4 linked regions of the Saccharomyces cerevisiae S288C genome follow. The gene in region 1 interacts genetically with each later gene. Each region holds a gene or a part of one and is shown on either strand. Other genes may lie near its edges.

Evidence for each region.
Region 2: mutations in UPS2 (region 1) and CBP4 together harm fitness more than expected from each alone (negative genetic interaction), as found in Saccharomyces cerevisiae (2 studies listed by BioGRID).
Region 3: mutations in UPS2 (region 1) and FMP30 together harm fitness more than expected from each alone (negative genetic interaction), as found in Saccharomyces cerevisiae (3 studies listed by BioGRID, with this or other methods).
Region 4: mutations in UPS2 (region 1) and PBS2 together harm fitness less than expected from each alone (positive genetic interaction), as found in Saccharomyces cerevisiae (2 studies listed by BioGRID).

Annotation. Positions count from the first base shown.
Region 1 is NC_001144.5:498,292-501,831, forward strand, and holds UPS2 (Ups2p), read right to left. Parts: upstream 1,980-3,540; coding exon 1,287-1,979; downstream 1-1,286. Other genes in the region: ubiquitin-40S ribosomal protein eS31 RPS31 fusion protein, read left to right, coding at 656-1,114; APS1 (Aps1p), read right to left, coding at 2,288-2,758; DPH5 (diphthine synthase), read right to left, coding at 2,969-3,540. UniProt on the Saccharomyces cerevisiae protein: Required for mitochondrial cristae morphogenesis and MGM1-processing. Controls the stability of mitochondrial phosphatidylethanolamine (PE). With UPS1, controls the level of cardiolipin in mitochondria.
Region 2 is NC_001139.9:844,764-848,941, forward strand, and holds CBP4 (Cbp4p), read right to left. Parts: upstream 1,643-4,178; coding exon 1,130-1,642; downstream 1-1,129. Other genes in the region: RBG2 (Rbg2p), read left to right, coding at 1-197; YGR174W-A (uncharacterized protein), read left to right, coding at 1,892-1,978; ERG1 (squalene monooxygenase), read right to left, coding at 2,170-3,660; ATF2 (alcohol O-acetyltransferase), read right to left, coding at 4,066-4,178.
Region 3 is NC_001148.4:357,500-361,698, forward strand, and holds FMP30 (N-acetylphosphatidylethanolamine-hydrolyzing phospholipase D), read right to left. Parts: upstream 1,908-4,199; coding exon 501-1,907; downstream 1-500. Other genes in the region: aspartate--tRNA ligase MSD1, read left to right, coding at 1-177; Elongator subunit ELP4, read left to right, coding at 2,710-4,080. UniProt on the Saccharomyces cerevisiae protein: Hydrolyzes N-acyl-phosphatidylethanolamines (NAPEs) to produce N-acylethanolamines (NAEs).
Region 4 is NC_001142.9:177,040-182,884, reverse strand, and holds PBS2 (mitogen-activated protein kinase kinase PBS2), read left to right. Parts: upstream 1-2,781; coding exon 2,782-4,788; downstream 4,789-5,845. Other genes in the region: SPT10 (Spt10p), read left to right, coding at 1-587; MCO6 (Mco6p), read left to right, coding at 1,176-1,334; TRK1 (Trk1p), read left to right, coding at 5,579-5,845. UniProt on the Saccharomyces cerevisiae protein: Kinase involved in a signal transduction pathway that is activated by changes in the osmolarity of the extracellular environment. Activates the MAP kinase HOG1 by concomitant phosphorylation at 'Thr-174' and 'Tyr-176'.

The sequences.
Region 1 (3,540 bases):
AGTTTTATTCAGACGCACTCATTATCTTTGCTACATAACATTTCTCTCTGATTTGACTGCGCATCTTACCCCTCCCCCATGCATGTGGAGTCATAGGAGTAATTTTAAAGGTAGAATTTCATATTAAATATCGCTGCTTGATTATTTTGTAGCAAATCAAAAGAGTGTTTCAAGTAAGTAAAAACATTTGAGCCTCCCCATTTGTTGAAAGGAGAGAAATTAAACTTGGTTGGGGTTAATTATTTGATGGGTATATTAATTTGCAACCGCAAGGTATCGATAATAAATATTCTACAAAACCTTTATCAATAGTGGTGAAGTCTTTAGTGCGATCTACCTGGGGTTAATGAACGAGAAGTTCTTGAGATATCTTTCCTGTTTACCTCCGTGCATCCTGTAAGGAATTGGGTTTATCATTTATCATTTATTTTAGTACAAACTTTTTTTTTTGGCCCGGGCGCACTTTTTCAAGCGGTGGGAACTCATCAAAATGAAAAACTAGATACTTTTAGACTTATTAAATGGTTTAAATATTTTGAGATGTTCGTTATATCAGAAACTTCCTTACTTCTATCTTTTATTCCAATACAAAGAAGTCACAAGATTACTTGGTAAGAAAGAAGCAGTTAATTTTTAATTTTGCCGACAAGCCAAGATGCAAATTTTCGTCAAGACTTTAACCGGTAAGACTATTACCCTGGAAGTTGAATCTTCTGACACTATTGACAATGTCAAGTCCAAGATCCAAGACAAGGAAGGTATTCCACCTGACCAACAAAGATTGATCTTTGCTGGTAAGCAATTGGAAGATGGTAGAACTTTGTCCGACTACAACATCCAAAAGGAATCTACTCTACACTTGGTCTTGAGATTGAGAGGTGGTGGTAAGAAGAGAAAGAAGAAGGTCTACACCACCCCAAAGAAGATCAAGCACAAGCACAAGAAGGTCAAGTTGGCTGTCTTGTCCTACTACAAGGTCGATGCTGAAGGTAAGGTTACCAAATTGAGAAGAGAATGTAGCAACCCAACTTGTGGTGCTGGTGTTTTCTTGGCTAACCACAAGGACAGATTGTACTGTGGTAAGTGTCATTCCGTCTACAAGGTTAACGCTTAAGTAAAGTATTTTTAAAACTTATATATTTTAATTGATCGTTAAATTTTGAAAAAGGCTTTTAATATTGTCATTATTTACTTTTCTATTTACAACAAAAGAACAAATGAATAGATAGACAGTAGAGGAATATAAGTAGTATGCAGTGCCATGCGGGATCAAGGAATTTGTATCTCTAATTTTCGTGGTTGTATGCGTCTCTAAACAAGTCAATATTTTGCTGTAAGATGGTTCTGCCGCTCCTTTCAGTTCCTTTAAGAAGCGTACCTGCAGATATTTTAACATCCTCCATGGTTTCATTGACTTTACTGACAAGTTGATTGCTCAAGTCATCAACATGTTTTTCCCAATTTTCACTAAATACTTGCAAAACAGCATCGAATCCCATTTTACCCTTTTTAGCGTTCTCGCAAAACCTTTGAACTGACCAATCTTCCATCTTATTACACAGCTTTCTAATGGATCCATATGCTGTAATTTGGGCTTCCTGCTGGAAAAGTGTTTTATTAGCCGAGTCATCGGGATGCGGGCTATATGTTACAGTTTCGTAGACTTTTAATAGATTGCACATCGTTAAATTACAGCTTCTCATGGTCAAGCTCTTTTTATTTAAGTCTACCACAGAAACTTCTCTGACATGACTCATATTGGTCCCTCCTAGCATCATCATGATCCATTTGGGAACACCTTGTTTTACAGTAATCAACCGTTCAGTAACTAAGACCTTACCTTGATCCTTCAATTCTCTTCTTAAAACGTCCACTGCGATGACATGTGTAGATATTTCATTTGGGTATTTTTTCCAGTTAGCGGCGGTTACCTGGTCCCATGGATAGTTGAAATCGTAACTGTTTTGAAACAATTTCATTATCGTCTTTTAATTATTCTCGATTATTTTATCTTAGTCTGAAATCTATTCTTTCGTCCTATTGATGCTTAAATTCAAAAATATGTACATCACTTCGCATGATAATTTTATCGCCTATATATTCTTTACATTTTTCACATTCATTCCTTTTTACCGCTCTGACCAATCAACGTTGTGCCGATGCTCGCAAAAGATATTTTTGTCCGGGCAACGGCTTTTGCGACAGACGGTAATAATAGTAGGGCCCCTTGCCCCCTTCTCATCTTATTCTTCTCCTTTCTTCTTCATTCCATTGTTTTTTAGTGGTCCTAACTCAATACCCTTTCAAGATTATCGTTGCTCTCCATGGTGTCCATCACGGTCACATGGTGCAGTACTTCCTTCCTACTGCTCTCTGCGATGGAGCCATCGCACATAATCATCTCATTCAAGATATCGTAGACCTTACTGAAGTTAAATATAATGTCTAGCTCACAAACATTGCCGAAATATGTGTCCATTGTTTCGACAAACCGATGGATAATTTCCAAGGTCAGCAGTTCATTGTCAACATCGGGCGTCATCCCAACAATAAAATATAGACTAGCATATCGCTTGTATACTACTTTGTGGTCATTATACTCGATGATGTTACACATTTTGGGTTTTCTTGCTAATATCGTAGGTGTCAAGTCTTTCACAATTTTTGCCTTTTCACCAGCGGACATTGCCGTGTACCATTTCTTTAATCTGATTTTTCCTTGCCTAGAAACCAGCAACAAATATTTTAATTGCGTCATCTTGTGTACCTGTGTATCCGTATATAATCTCCTCCAGGATCGCTCTTGTTCTTGGCTGAAATTGTTGTTATAACTTCTTGTTCATTCATTGCCATTTTTACACATATCGTTAGGGCCCGATTCGTTTGGGATCGAATTGTTACCCGACTGAAAGGATCTATTCAATATACATTATAAAAAAGAAACTACACATGAGCGTGTGCATTACCTTTACTCGTCGCTGTCGTCTTCTGTGGGTGGGACCCATGCCGCAGGTTTGAAGTACTCTTGGTCATTTGCCACATCTTTCCCAAACTTTTCTTTGTCGTCGGCAAACTCTAGCAGGTATTCCAGCTCCAATTCATGACATTGTCTGCCGAGGATGACAAGCGAATGAAGTGGCTCTCCTGAATCGTAATTGGCTAACTCACTTATGGTACCAGACTTAAAGCTTTGGGAGCTCGAGCCTAATCTACTAATTGCGACTGCTGGAGTATCAGGAGTGTATGCCTTTGTACCTCTTTTCTCTTCAATTTCTAATAATTGTTCACAACATTGAGCGATAGACATGTATCTTGGTGGTTCGTAGATTAGTCTGCCACGGGCCATATTTTCAATGCTTTGTTCCTTAACTTTGATGTCCAATAACACTAAAGTATGAAGGCCAATTTTTCTATTTTCCCAGATCTTGTCGTACCATGAGTCTGGTCTCCAATTATCGGTAAAGAAAACCATGGAAACGGTTTGACCGAAATTGTATAGTTGTAGGCCACATGCCCCAACTGCATTCATAACGGACGCAT
Region 2 (4,178 bases), on another chromosome or scaffold:
GACCAGTATTTGATGATCCTCTAGTGGTAAGAAATAATTCCACTATTGGTGACTTATGTCATGGTATCCACAGGGATTTCAAAGATAAGTTCAAATACGCATTGGTTTGGGGTTCTTCTGCCAAACATTCTCCTCAGAAGTGCGGCTTAAACCACAGGATTGATGATGAAGATGTAGTTTCTTTATTCGCGAAATAGTATAAATGAATAGATTTTAAAGAAACATGAAAAAACAAGATCAGCATCGAGAACTGTAGTACGGAGCAGAGATTTTGCATGACTAAACGGACTCATTTTCCTTGTAGTAGAAATAAATGCTGAAAATAGGTTTTTTAGTGAGAACCGGAAGGTGTTACTTTCATGGTATATTCGTATATACTTTTATAATGTAATTTGAAGAGCTCCGTTCATAAAAATTGTCATTCTGGGCTTCAAATGAATAAATAAACCCGAATGACAATGAAATCTCGAAATTATAATAGTGGTACCTAGTGTAGTAAGTATAAAGGAACCTTCTCTGTTGTATCTCAGAATGGGATACCTCAGTATGACAATACATCATCCTAAACGTTCATAAAACACATATGAAACAACCTTACAGCAAAACGAACAGAATGAGCAACATGAAAATAAAACTCTGCCTTCCTTAGCTAACCTACTCTAACGTATAAGTATCTGAACAATTGGTTTAGATCCAAGATTCCGCGCTTCCACCATTTAGTATGATCCATATTTTATATAATATATAGGATAAGTAAGATCCCGTGAATCAAGCTGATAAACCGTTTTGACAACTGGTTACTTCCCTAAGACTGTTTATATTAGGATTGTCAAGAACCTTGACATTACCCCATTGCATGATGCAATAATCTCATATAAATAACAAGCGCAAGTGGTTTAGTGGTAAAATCCAACGTTGCCATCGTTGGGCCCCCGGTTCGATTCCGGGCTTGCGCAATGTTTTTTCCATCCCCAAGTATGGGAACTAAAATAGCTAAAAATAAGTATGAAGTTATATTTTTAAACCTATTTACAGTGTACAAATAAATAATATATCATAAATGACACAGACGTATGTTTTAGGATGCAAAAGTTCAAGCTGCCCTTCCTAATTGAGTGACCCGACCCATCTACCAGAAGCGCCACCAGCTTTTAACCTGCTTATCCTGGACTATTTCCTTTGTTTTCTCCTCCGTTTCAGATCTTAGCTGAGACAGTTCATTTCTGATCCTAGCCAACTCTTCTTTTTGCACCTCCTCCGCCCTCACCTTAGCAAAGTGATCTCTGCTTTGAACGTTATCACCGTTCCTTTCCCAAGGTGATTGAAGGGGGCCCGTCTTCCAAATTGGATCGTCACTTTGAGAAGTTTCCTTAACAATTTTCATCAAAGCCTGCTGCTCCGACTGACGTAGTTTTTTCTCCCTCTCATATTGTAAACGTAATTCTGGGGAAAGCTGGCTGATTAACTGTTGATCTGTTGGCGTTGTGTACTTGAAAAGCAGAAACCCGCTTCCAATAATAGCGCCACCAATTGCATAGACTTTCAACCAACGTACCCACAATGGTCTTTCCATACCCAAATAATGCTTATACTGTCTTTGTTTTGCTATTACTGCCTCTCTAGGAGTTATCGCGCACTGCATGTATATAAAATTTTATCTTGATAAAATACCCCGGGGGATGAGCAAAAAAAGGGATATGGGGAATGAAAAGTGAGATAAACTAGCAATAATCTATTCTAATAAGTAGAACATTCACAAAGACTACTATGGTGTAATTCTGAAAGGATTTACGAGAGCACAAATACTATTATGTATAATTCTGACTGCAGAATCCGGCAAGCTTGATTTAATATCACTTAAGGAAGTAATATCGTTAATTGATAACCGAATATGAATCTCAATGCATATTTTGAAGCATATCAAGCCATTTTTCCTTTTCTGTTGGAGGCATTTTTAAGGAAAGAACAAAAAGTATAAAACACTTCGGTTAATAATAAATGATATGTGAATTTTTTTGAAAATATGTAAAATAAATAAGTAATAAATAAAAATAAGATGTGTTTATCGTAATGTACTATACAAGCCTTCCAAGCCGACTTCTGTAATAAAAAAAAAAGGTGCAGCTTAATGTTTGACGGTTCCTATCCTCTCTCCCTTATAAGCTGTAGTTAACCAATCAACTCACCAAACAAAAATGGGGTGAATACTCTAATAGCTGTGATCAAAATCATAATACCTTCCAATAAAGCCATTGGTAATCCCAAGAAACCACGTTCTTCCATGTTCAAGTAAATGGTGTAAAAAGCGACAGCGAAGAAAACCCTGGTCAATTGCAAAGGCTTTGGCAAGACACCAGACAGAAATTCAACGGGTTTGTTGACACAATCGCCACCTCTTTGGAAATATTTGAAACAACCTTTTTGTAATGCCTTCAAGTTATCGCTGTCAGCAGCGAACAAAGAATACAAAGCCACTGACAAAACGTTAATAACGGAATCGTAACTCTTTCTTTCGAAATGGTAGTCTAGTAATTCATCCAAAACCTTTTCACGGTCGCTGAAGTCTAGGTCACCTATTTTCTTAATCAACAAGACAACATCATGCAAACCGACAGTCATACCACCACCAGTCAATGGATGTCTCATATTTAGAGCGTCACCGATAACACACATACCAGTGACGTCGTTTTGTCTAGCTGGCAAGTAGGAGTTTGGCATAGCTCTAAATTTACCTTGGCTGACGGCTTCATCAAATGAAGGACGTAGACTCTTTGGAATGAAAGGTTGGACATCCTTAATCATCCAACTCTTGATATCAGCTGGGACCTTTGGAGAGTTGTAAGCACAAAGGATTCTTGTTTCTTCTGGACTGATTTGGTAAACCAAGATTGGCATATGATCACTACCAAGAATAACGTGACCGTGCATAGGAGCAGGATTCTTAGCATTGAACAAAGACATACCGACAAACGAAGAACCGACAGTTGGAACATGGTCTGGGTGCAATTCCTTTCTGAAACGTGAAAAGATACCGTCACAGATAAATGTCAAGTGGGCTTTGAATTCCACCTTGCCACGGCCATCAATGTCAACCTTGGCACCAACAACCTCATTCTTTTCATCCTTCAATATCTCAATACAGTTACCTTGCACTCTAGTAACATTTGGCTCTTGAGCAGTAATGTTTCTCAAGTTGTTCAAGAATCTACCATGAACAAAAGCAACACCCCTTTCTCTTTCATCATCTTCGTAATCCTTGATGTGAATAGTGCTGTCTTCCAAGACCTTGTCATTACCATCTTTGACCAAGTCCTTCAATTTTTCAACTTTAGGGATATCGGCCTTGTAAGGGTATGGAATATCAACTTGTTCGCCGTTGAAAAAGACGGTATAACCGGTAACAGGATATGCTTCGATGTTGTTGATAGATTGAATCATACCCAGACTTCTCAATGCTCTAACACCACCTGGTTGCATCAATTCACCAACAATTCTATCAGGCATAGCCCAGTCACGTTCTACGATAAGAACTTTCTTACCCTTTCTTGCTAGACCAGTAGCAACACATGGACCGATAACACCAGCACCGATGACAATCGCATCGTAGGTAATTGTGTTGTCGGCATTAATCAATTCAGGTGCAACGTTAACAGCAGACATGACCCTTTTCTCGATATGTTTTTCTGTGATTTTTTTTTTTCAATTGTTCGAAATAACCTGTATTGTTCAATACTGGACAATTGTTCTGATATATATATATATATATAATTTTCAATGAAAAAAAAAAAAAAAAGAAAGAAAATTAGAAGCTAGAAAGAAATAAGGAAAAGGAAAAGCAAACAACAATAGGAAAAAAAAGCATAGAAACATATAATAGATTAAATACAAAAGATTTATTATACATGCGAGGTAAGACTATTGTCTAAGACTTATACCCGACCGAGAGCAGCCACGGCATGCATCGACTACGAGCGTATTGTGTTATATCAGCTCTGTCCGATACACTGCTTGCCTTTTGTACGAGCTCGGCCGAGCTATACGAAGGCCCGCTACGGCAGTATCGCATTAAAGCGACGCAAATTCGCCGATGGTTTGGTAGAAGAGCTTGCAGAACGATTCCCATTCGCCACGATCCCGTAGAGTGCCCTGAACCACGCTCATGTCCATGTTCATACCAT
Region 3 (4,199 bases), on another chromosome or scaffold:
TTTGCTATTGGTTTTGATCGTATGTGCGCTATGATCTGTGAAACTGAGAGTATAAGGGACGTAATCGCCTTCCCAAAAAGTATTACCGGGGCTGATTTGGTTGTCAAGAGTCCAAGTGTGATACCTGAAAGCATTCTGGAACCTTACAATATCAAGTATAGTAATTCAAAAAAATGAGCAGAAGTTGATGTTACCTAGATGTGAGAGAATCTTAGTGTGGCTGCAGTATGTAGGTTTTTCTTGTAAATATTATACCTATTTTGTTTGCCTTGTATATGAAGAGATGAAATAACAAATCGATATCCATTACTTGAATTGATTTTTTATCAACATTAATTGTAATTTCTTTATAACATCTTATTGGATATCATACGAATGTTTTTAAATTACAAAATCATTAAATCATAAAATGTTCAGTGAGTACAATCTCCCAAAGTCTACGTTTACTGTAATTTATCGCTATTTACAGGGACGCTGCAGCTTAAATATTAGCGCCTAAGTTAGTCGAAGCATTCTGTCTTGCCCAATTCTGGACAGTAGCAGCGGTCTTTAAACCCACCCCACTCGGCCAACATTTCTAATTTTTCCTTTGGCTCTAAGAAATATTCTCCGCTTAATACAAAGGTCCCCCAATGAACGCCTAATACATTTCGAGCTTCTAGATCTTTCATAATCTTGAGAACCTCTTGAGGATTAATATGTCGTGGTTTTTGGTGCCACTCAGGGCAATACTGACCACATGGAAGCAGCGCTAATTTACAACCTTTGCCAAAGCGTTCTTTAATTCTAACGAATAAATCTTTCACATATCCAGTGTCACCAGCATGAAAAAGTATGGGATTACCATGGTGTGTTAATAAAAAGGAGCACCATAGAGACTTGTTCGTATCTAAGAGCGATCTCCCAGACCAATGCATGGCAGGAGTAGCCGATATGTGGTATATCTCATTGTTTTTCTTTACTTGCAAAGTTTCCCACCAAGATAATTCTAGGACATTATCACAGCCGTTACTTGTCATATAAGATTTCATTCCTTTAGGTACTATCCATAAGGGAGAGTCTTTGCCACTCCAGTATTCCAAGCTTTCTAAATCCAGGTGATCGGGGTGATTATGGGATACAAGGATGATATCTGGTTTGGGCACCTCTGTAATTTGAGATGGCATTTGAGTAATTCTTTTAGGACCCAGGGTCTTGTGGATAAGAAAGTCACTGAACAGAGGATCAGTAAGTATCCTCAATCCATTATAAACCGTGTAGTTACAGGACTGGCCCAGCCATGTGTTATAGACTGGGCACTTTGATCCTTCATTTTCTTCTACTGCAGTCGGTATGTGCAATTCGTCTAACACTTTGCATTCTAGCGGCAATGCCGTTTCCTCTGCGGGGTCGACGTCCACTAAGTTAGGCCCCCATGTTGGCTTGTGTACAGGCATTAACTTATTCATTTGGTGTACATCACGTGGAATACCTCCCCTATTTCTTTCAAATAATTCGAACACTCTATTTGCAAAGAATTCAAAAACGGTCTGAATCCTGTATTCTTCGAACGGGTTCTCAAATCTGCCTAAAACTTCCAAAGGGCTATATTTTAGCAAGGATCCCTTATAAGTGACCTCGTTATTATTCTCCTCTAATCTTTGACACATTTCGTTTCTTAAATCAATTTGCTTCACTGTAGCCAATGATACATAAAACGCATATCCTGTGTAAGGTACCAAAACAGACAACAGAAGTATACGTGCGTATTTTCTCGAGCATTTTTGTATAGGGCGTGTCTTTTGCGAAGCATGTCTTTTGAAAGTTGACAATGATGTCTGGGGTCTAAACAGCTCTGATTCTCGTAAACGCACTAGTCTCCTTTGGAGAAGAAGCCTCATCTGAACATGGCAGGTAACAAAATTCATTTGCAACACAAGCAGGCATGCAATCCTTCAGTAATTGGAGTGCTACTGTTCACACCATATTCTCGCTATTCTCGAACTACGTTTTTTTTTTTTTGTTAAGCATCAGTAGTGAGTCTTCGGGAACTGCTTAACGACAGTAAAGGAAAAAAAAAACTAGCAGCTGTTGATAATATTCAGAAAATGAACGCAGAAGGAATCATTAGCTAAAAAGTTTATTATTAAAATCAGACATATATCTCATTATAATATTTTTTTTTTATAATACCACCATTTGTTCTCATATAATACTGATAAATATCGCATCGAATGGAAAAGACAAATAGGAGGCCGCTATTGTAATTTGGGCCTTAACCTATTTATTCTCTCTCTTTTAATTGATATTTTAATCTTTTTGAAGCCTACAATGTATTTTGGGCGATAATCAAGGAGAATATCAGTGTCATATACTCACTGTGGTAAATGTATTTCTAAAGTAGTTCCAATTCTTTCTTCAAAAAAGGCCACTAGACGATGTGCTTTCTTGCACAAGCATTTTGCTGGGCTATCTTCAATAGTGATAATTCTAACTAACTCAAAACCAGATGGCAAGTTCTTCCCTATGGTCGACTTCTCTCAGACGCAATAGTAGCTATGTTATTGATGGCTTTTGACGCCAGACCGGGTAAAGCGCATGGAATGAACTCTAAACTGTTAAAATAACAAAAACGACATATGAAGATGTCGATGAGGCTGGATAGTTTAGAGATGAGGTGCAGAGAACAACATTGTATAACAAATTCGGCTCCCAAATATCGCATGTACCATGTCATTTCGTAAAAGAGGTGAAATACTGAACGATAGAGGTAGCGGGCTAAGAGGTCCACTGTTAAGAGGTCCTCCACGAACTTCCTCAACGCCATTGAGGACAGGCAACAGAAGAGCCCCTGGAAATGTGCCCTTGTCTGACACTACAGCGAGATTAAAGAAGTTGAATATTGCGGACGAATCCAAGACAAAAATGGGGCTGGATAGCTCCCATGTGGGCGTTAGACCTTCTCCTGCAACCTCTCAGCCGACGACATCAACTGGGAGTGCTGACCTGGACAGTATACTAGGCCATATGGGGCTGCCGCTGGGAAACTCTGTACTAGTAGAGGAGCAGAGCACGACAGAATTTCACTCTATTCTCGGTAAACTGTTTGCCGCACAGGGTATCGTTCATAATAGAATTTCAGATAGCAGTGCTGATAAAACTAGAAACGGCGACACTCATGTCATTGTCTTGTCATTGAACCAAATGTTTGCAAAGGAGCTACCTGGTATCTACAAGGGATCACGTAAACAAATGAAGAAAAACCTAATCTCTGAAGAAGAATCAAAAGTTACTGTTCAAAATTTGAACGAGACCCAGAGATCGACGCCTTCCAGGTACAAAGACCTGAAAATTGCATGGAAATATAAACTGGCAGATGAAAAGAGATTGGGTTCTCCGGATCGAGATGACATCCAACAAAATTCTGAGTACAAGGACTACAATCATCAGTTTGATATTACAACGCGTCTGATGCCCGCTCCCATAGCATCTGAACTGACATTTATCGCCCCAACTCAACCTGTCTCCACTATTTTGAGCCAAATAGAACAGACTATTAAAAGGAATGACAAGAAACTGATAAGAATTGTTATTCCTTCCCTTCTACATCCGGCAATGTATCCGCCCAAAATGTTTGAATCATCTGAAATAATAGGTTTAATGCACGGTGTGAGGAGTCTTGTCAAGAAATACTATGAGCGGGTTGTACTGTTTGCTTCCATATCCATAGACATTATCACTCCCCCATTACTGGTATTGCTGAGAAACATGTTCGATTCTGTTATCAATCTAGAACCCTTTAACCAGGAGATGACTGAGTTCTTAGAACGTGTTTATAAATCGCAACCGGGGAAGATTCAACATGGGCTAGTCCACATATTGAAATTACCAGTTTTCACGGACCGTGGAGAGATGAGAGTTTTAAAGTCTGAATGGGCATTTAAGAATGGCAGAAAAAAGTTTGAAATAGAACAATGGGGCATACCCGTGGATGATGCTGAAGGTTCAGCTGCCTCGGAACAGTCACATTCACACTCGCACTCGGATGAAATCTCACATAATATACCTGCAAAGAAGACCAAGATATCTTTAGACTATTAAGAATATGGTTCAATTTATGGGAAATATACGGCATGCTTTTTAACAAGCGTGGTGAATGTATTATTTTTTTATCTGTTATATCTTAAATACGACTATTATATATATATCCATCGTCTTTT
Region 4 (5,845 bases), on another chromosome or scaffold:
CCAGTACGCTGAATGATGTGGAGGGTGAACCCACTCCGCCAGACACTAATATCGTACAACCCACATTCCAGAACGCCACGAATAGTCCCGCAACAACAGCTGAAGCCAACGAAGCGAATAAAAGATCCGAGTTTCTTTCCTCAATACAGAGCACGCCACTATTGGACGACGAACAGTCAATGAATTCCTTCAATAGATTCGTGGAGGAAGAAAACTCAAGAAAAAGACGAAAATACTTGGATGTTGCCTCCAACGGAATTGTACCCCATTTAACGAATAACGAATCGCAGGATCACGCGAACCCCGTCAACCGTGATGAACGAGATATGAACCATTCAGTTCCCGATTTAGATAGAAATGACCATACTATAATGAACGATGCTATGTTGAGCCTCGAAGATAACGTCATGGCCGCTCTAGAAATGGTCCAAAAGGAACAACAACAGAAGATAAATCATCGAGGTGAAGATGTGACTGGCCAACAAATCGATTTGAACAACAGTGAAGGTAATGAGAATTCAGTCACTAAGATTGTTAACAACGAATCTAATACATTTACAGAGCACAATTCTAATATTTATTATTAAATTGCGACTCTGCCAGAGACGGTCACATCACCAACCCTAGAAACTATAAAGTTTGTACAGAAAAAAGGTACATTTAATGATGCGTCCACTTTTGGAACAGGGTTGACAAGTCTTAAATCTTATTTCAGAAGTGATTTTTGAAGTAAAATTGGAAACTGAAATTGGAAACAAGGCACTCAACTCAATTATGCTTGCATGACGAAAGGTTCTGTTACAGTTTTACGTTGAAACCTAGGTACTGCAGAAATCCATAATCGGAGATAAATAACTAAGCTTTGTGCTGCAAAATTTTCCAGATTAGGAAACCTGATCCTCAGTGCCCTTTTAAGTACTGCTGTATCTGATGCCGTGAACGAGACACTATTGGCTGCGTGGGCACGTACCAAGTATACTCATCAAAATTTGTCTTAGGTTTTCCGATGCGGAAAATGGCAGCGCACAATTTAAATAGAAAAGGAGTTAAATGTACAGCAGCAAAATCAGTCACTCACGGAGAAAAGCTACGGTAGCGTAACGAAGAGCACATTGCTACTAGCAGCCAGCTAGATAATTGCAGCAGTGTACAGTTTACGCGACAATAAAGAAAGCATGATTTTCTTTTTCAACCAGATCCGTTCAATATTTACAGCTTTGCATACGCCAACTCAACAGATCCAATTATCAAGAAGGGCCTTTTTCCAATTCTTAGGCTATTTGGGTAGTTGTGTTGTGATTTCATTAGCAGCTCAATCGAAATACGTGCAGTAAGAAATGAAATAATGACCTGCAACAGTCCTTCTTGAGATGGAATGAAGTAATTGCTCTTTGAACGAGAGCACAAAAGCAAGCAGAAGTCGCGTATGTCAAGCCCATGATATAGCTGCTTAGATATATAGGTAGATATAAATAAGCACAATGGCTACAGTAATTGTGCGGTGCAGGGAGGCAATGTTTAGTGCATCTCCTCTACATCATTTCTATTTTTAATCTCGTCCACGAGAACGATTTAAGGAAATGGGGCTTCAAAAATAAAAAAATCAAATGAAAGTAATAATCTTTCAGCTTAGACTTATTTTTAGTTGAAACACTTGAATAAGAGTGCAGACACTCAATCGTGGTGTAGCTACAAGAACATATGGTGGCGTGTTTCTGCTGCAACTGTCAAGATCGTCTGTGTCTTAATGAGGTGATATATAGAACTGCTGAATACGGAGCCGTTTGTCTTTTACTGCGGGATTAACTTCAACAGCTACGGCCGAAGCCAATTCTGGCAAAAGGCAATGACTAAGTCTTGTTTCTCATGTAGATTACTATTTTGAGCGTGTTGCTTTTCTGTTCCCCTTGAGCATAGCAGCAGGCACGGAAGCATACAGAATATTCACTAACATGAGAACAACTCATTACTAGACTACTACCAGTTACTACACATCGATACAACTCCCCAGAAATATCACTGTTGAGAGTTCATGTCAAGACGTAGTATAGTATTGCAACAGGAAAAAAAAATCTTATTGCGTAGCACTCTGTATCTATTTTATATATCTGTTTCTATATTTGATTAATCTCTTGTTATCTTGGTGATGATCGCACAAGTATGTACTCCTGTATCTGCAAGAATATCTGTTTTAAACTTTTCAAAGCAAGGAAACCCCGTCTTATATAGGTTATCCGCAAAGGTCACATTTTCTTGCAAATAGAAGAAAAAGCACCCACAAGCACACTAACACAGTGCCAGAGCAAAACTATATCCTTTGCATCCGATCTCAAACGCTGTTCTTATCGCATCTGTCTTCGTCCTTTCATCTGCATTTACCTTTTCTTTTTCATCCTCTATTTGCCTTTTCATTAGTGGCAATTTTTCCAGTTTTTTCCCTCTGCGTCCCGTTGCACCTGAAAGGATCTTTCTAACGTGTGTTGTCTACTAGTGAGCGATTTCGTGAGCCATACACGTTCTATAGAAAATTGAATAAACTTTACTTCAAAGGGATCTGGACACAGAGATAACTGCTTACCTGCTTGCCGGAAGAAAAGAATTACTAAAAAAGAAGACAAGGGTAGCTGCTATTGTGGGTACACGTTTCACAGAACTACTTTTTCCTTGTCCTTCTCCAGACATCAACGTCATACAACTAAAACTGATAAAGTACCCGTTTTTCCGTACATTTCTATAGATACATTATTATATTAAGCAGATCGAGACGTTAATTTCTCAAAGATGGAAGACAAGTTTGCTAACCTCAGTCTCCATGAGAAAACTGGTAAGTCATCTATCCAATTAAACGAGCAAACAGGCTCAGATAATGGCTCTGCTGTCAAGAGAACATCTTCGACGTCCTCGCACTACAATAACATCAACGCTGACCTTCATGCTCGTGTAAAAGCTTTTCAAGAACAACGTGCATTGAAAAGGTCTGCCAGCGTGGGCAGTAATCAAAGCGAGCAAGACAAAGGCAGTTCACAATCACCTAAACATATTCAGCAGATTGTTAATAAGCCATTGCCGCCTCTTCCCGTAGCAGGAAGTTCTAAGGTTTCACAAAGAATGAGTAGCCAAGTCGTGCAAGCGTCCTCCAAGAGCACTCTTAAGAACGTTCTGGACAATCAAGAAACACAAAACATTACCGACGTAAATATTAACATCGATACAACCAAAATTACCGCCACAACAATTGGTGTAAATACTGGCCTACCTGCTACTGACATTACGCCGTCAGTTTCTAATACTGCATCAGCAACACATAAGGCGCAATTGCTGAATCCTAACAGAAGGGCACCAAGAAGGCCGCTTTCTACCCAGCACCCTACAAGACCAAATGTTGCCCCGCATAAGGCCCCTGCTATAATCAACACACCAAAACAAAGTTTAAGTGCCCGTCGAGGGCTCAAATTACCACCAGGAGGAATGTCATTAAAAATGCCCACTAAAACAGCTCAACAGCCGCAGCAGTTTGCCCCAAGCCCTTCAAACAAAAAACATATAGAAACCTTATCAAACAGCAAAGTTGTTGAAGGGAAAAGATCGAATCCGGGTTCTTTGATAAATGGTGTGCAAAGCACATCCACCTCATCAAGTACCGAAGGCCCACATGACACTGTAGGCACTACACCCAGAACTGGAAACAGCAACAACTCTTCAAATTCTGGTAGTAGTGGTGGTGGTGGTCTTTTCGCAAATTTCTCGAAATACGTGGATATCAAATCCGGCTCTTTGAATTTTGCAGGCAAACTATCGCTATCCTCTAAAGGAATAGATTTCAGCAATGGTTCTAGTTCGAGAATTACATTGGACGAACTAGAATTTTTGGATGAACTGGGTCATGGTAACTATGGTAACGTCTCAAAGGTACTGCATAAGCCCACAAATGTTATTATGGCGACGAAGGAAGTCCGTTTGGAGCTAGATGAGGCTAAATTTAGACAAATTTTAATGGAACTAGAAGTTTTGCATAAATGCAATTCTCCCTATATTGTGGATTTTTATGGTGCATTCTTTATTGAGGGCGCCGTCTACATGTGTATGGAATACATGGATGGTGGTTCCTTGGATAAAATATACGACGAATCATCTGAAATCGGCGGCATTGATGAACCTCAGCTAGCGTTTATTGCCAATGCTGTCATTCATGGACTAAAAGAACTCAAAGAGCAGCATAATATCATACACAGAGATGTCAAACCAACAAATATTTTATGTTCAGCCAACCAAGGCACCGTAAAGCTGTGCGATTTCGGTGTTTCTGGTAATTTGGTGGCATCTTTAGCGAAGACTAATATTGGTTGTCAGTCATACATGGCACCTGAACGAATCAAATCGTTGAATCCAGATAGAGCCACCTATACCGTACAGTCAGACATCTGGTCTTTAGGTTTAAGCATTCTGGAAATGGCACTAGGTAGATATCCGTATCCACCAGAAACATACGACAACATTTTCTCTCAATTGAGCGCTATTGTTGATGGGCCGCCACCGAGATTACCTTCAGATAAATTCAGTTCTGACGCACAAGATTTTGTTTCTTTATGTCTACAAAAGATTCCGGAAAGAAGACCTACATACGCAGCTTTAACAGAGCATCCTTGGTTAGTAAAATACAGAAACCAGGATGTCCACATGAGTGAGTATATCACTGAACGATTAGAAAGGCGCAACAAAATCTTACGGGAACGTGGTGAGAATGGTTTATCTAAAAATGTACCGGCATTACATATGGGTGGTTTATAGCGTTAATATCCAAATAAAAGCAAACAGGCACGTGAATATAACAACAAAAAAAAAGCAGACGAAAAGCTACTGTGGAAATGATGCGGCGAATACAAAAAAACCTTACATATACATATGTTTATTGTAATAAACTTGCATTATACTCGTTATAGACATATATATATATATATATTCATATATATATATCGTCTGACTTCCTTTTGTCGAACCTAAAAAAGGGCACGAATTATGACAGAGTATTGAGGGGATGTTATTTCAAGCACCGGCAAGTGAAGCGATGTGGACGTCAATATATTGTGTTATTCGATTATTGCTACGGCCATCGACTCCTCGAAATTATTTACGTTCGGGGCTGACAACGCAAGAAAGAAAAAATGCTCTGGAATTGTCTGATGGTTTTTCCGCTCTTTACGGCTCAAGGCTAGGAAAGAAAAAAAAGTCCAAAATCATCGAGAAAATAAAAGGTGTTTTGAAAGTTCAAATCCACGTTATTGAGAGTAGATGTGGAGTCTGGACCAGGAACTATACCTGTATCTTACCCTAACTTCTAAATTTTGCTACTTTCACGGAAAACAGTAAATAATTACCTATCAAGATAAAGAGCTCTTACATTATTAGAAACTTTTTGTTACTGTTGCTTTCCTTTCGCCCATTGTTTTTACCTTACCATTAGCATCACTGATTCCACACTTGTATTGCCTTAAAAAGAAGGAGGGTATTCTATTGGCTCTCAAGGAAGTCATTCCTATCCATTTTACTTAAAGTTATTACCTTTTTTTGATAACTAACAATGCATTTTAGAAGAACGATGAGTAGAGTGCCCACATTGGCATCTCTTGAAATACGATATAAAAAATCTTTCGGCCATAAATTTCGTGATTTTATTGCTCTATGTGGTCACTATTTTGCTCCAGTTAAAAAATATATCTTCCCCAGTTTTATCGCGGTTCACTACTTCTACACGATATCCCTGACATTAATAACTTCAATCCTGCTATATCCCATTAAGAATACCAGATACATTGATACATTGTTTTTAGCAGCGGGCGCAGTTACA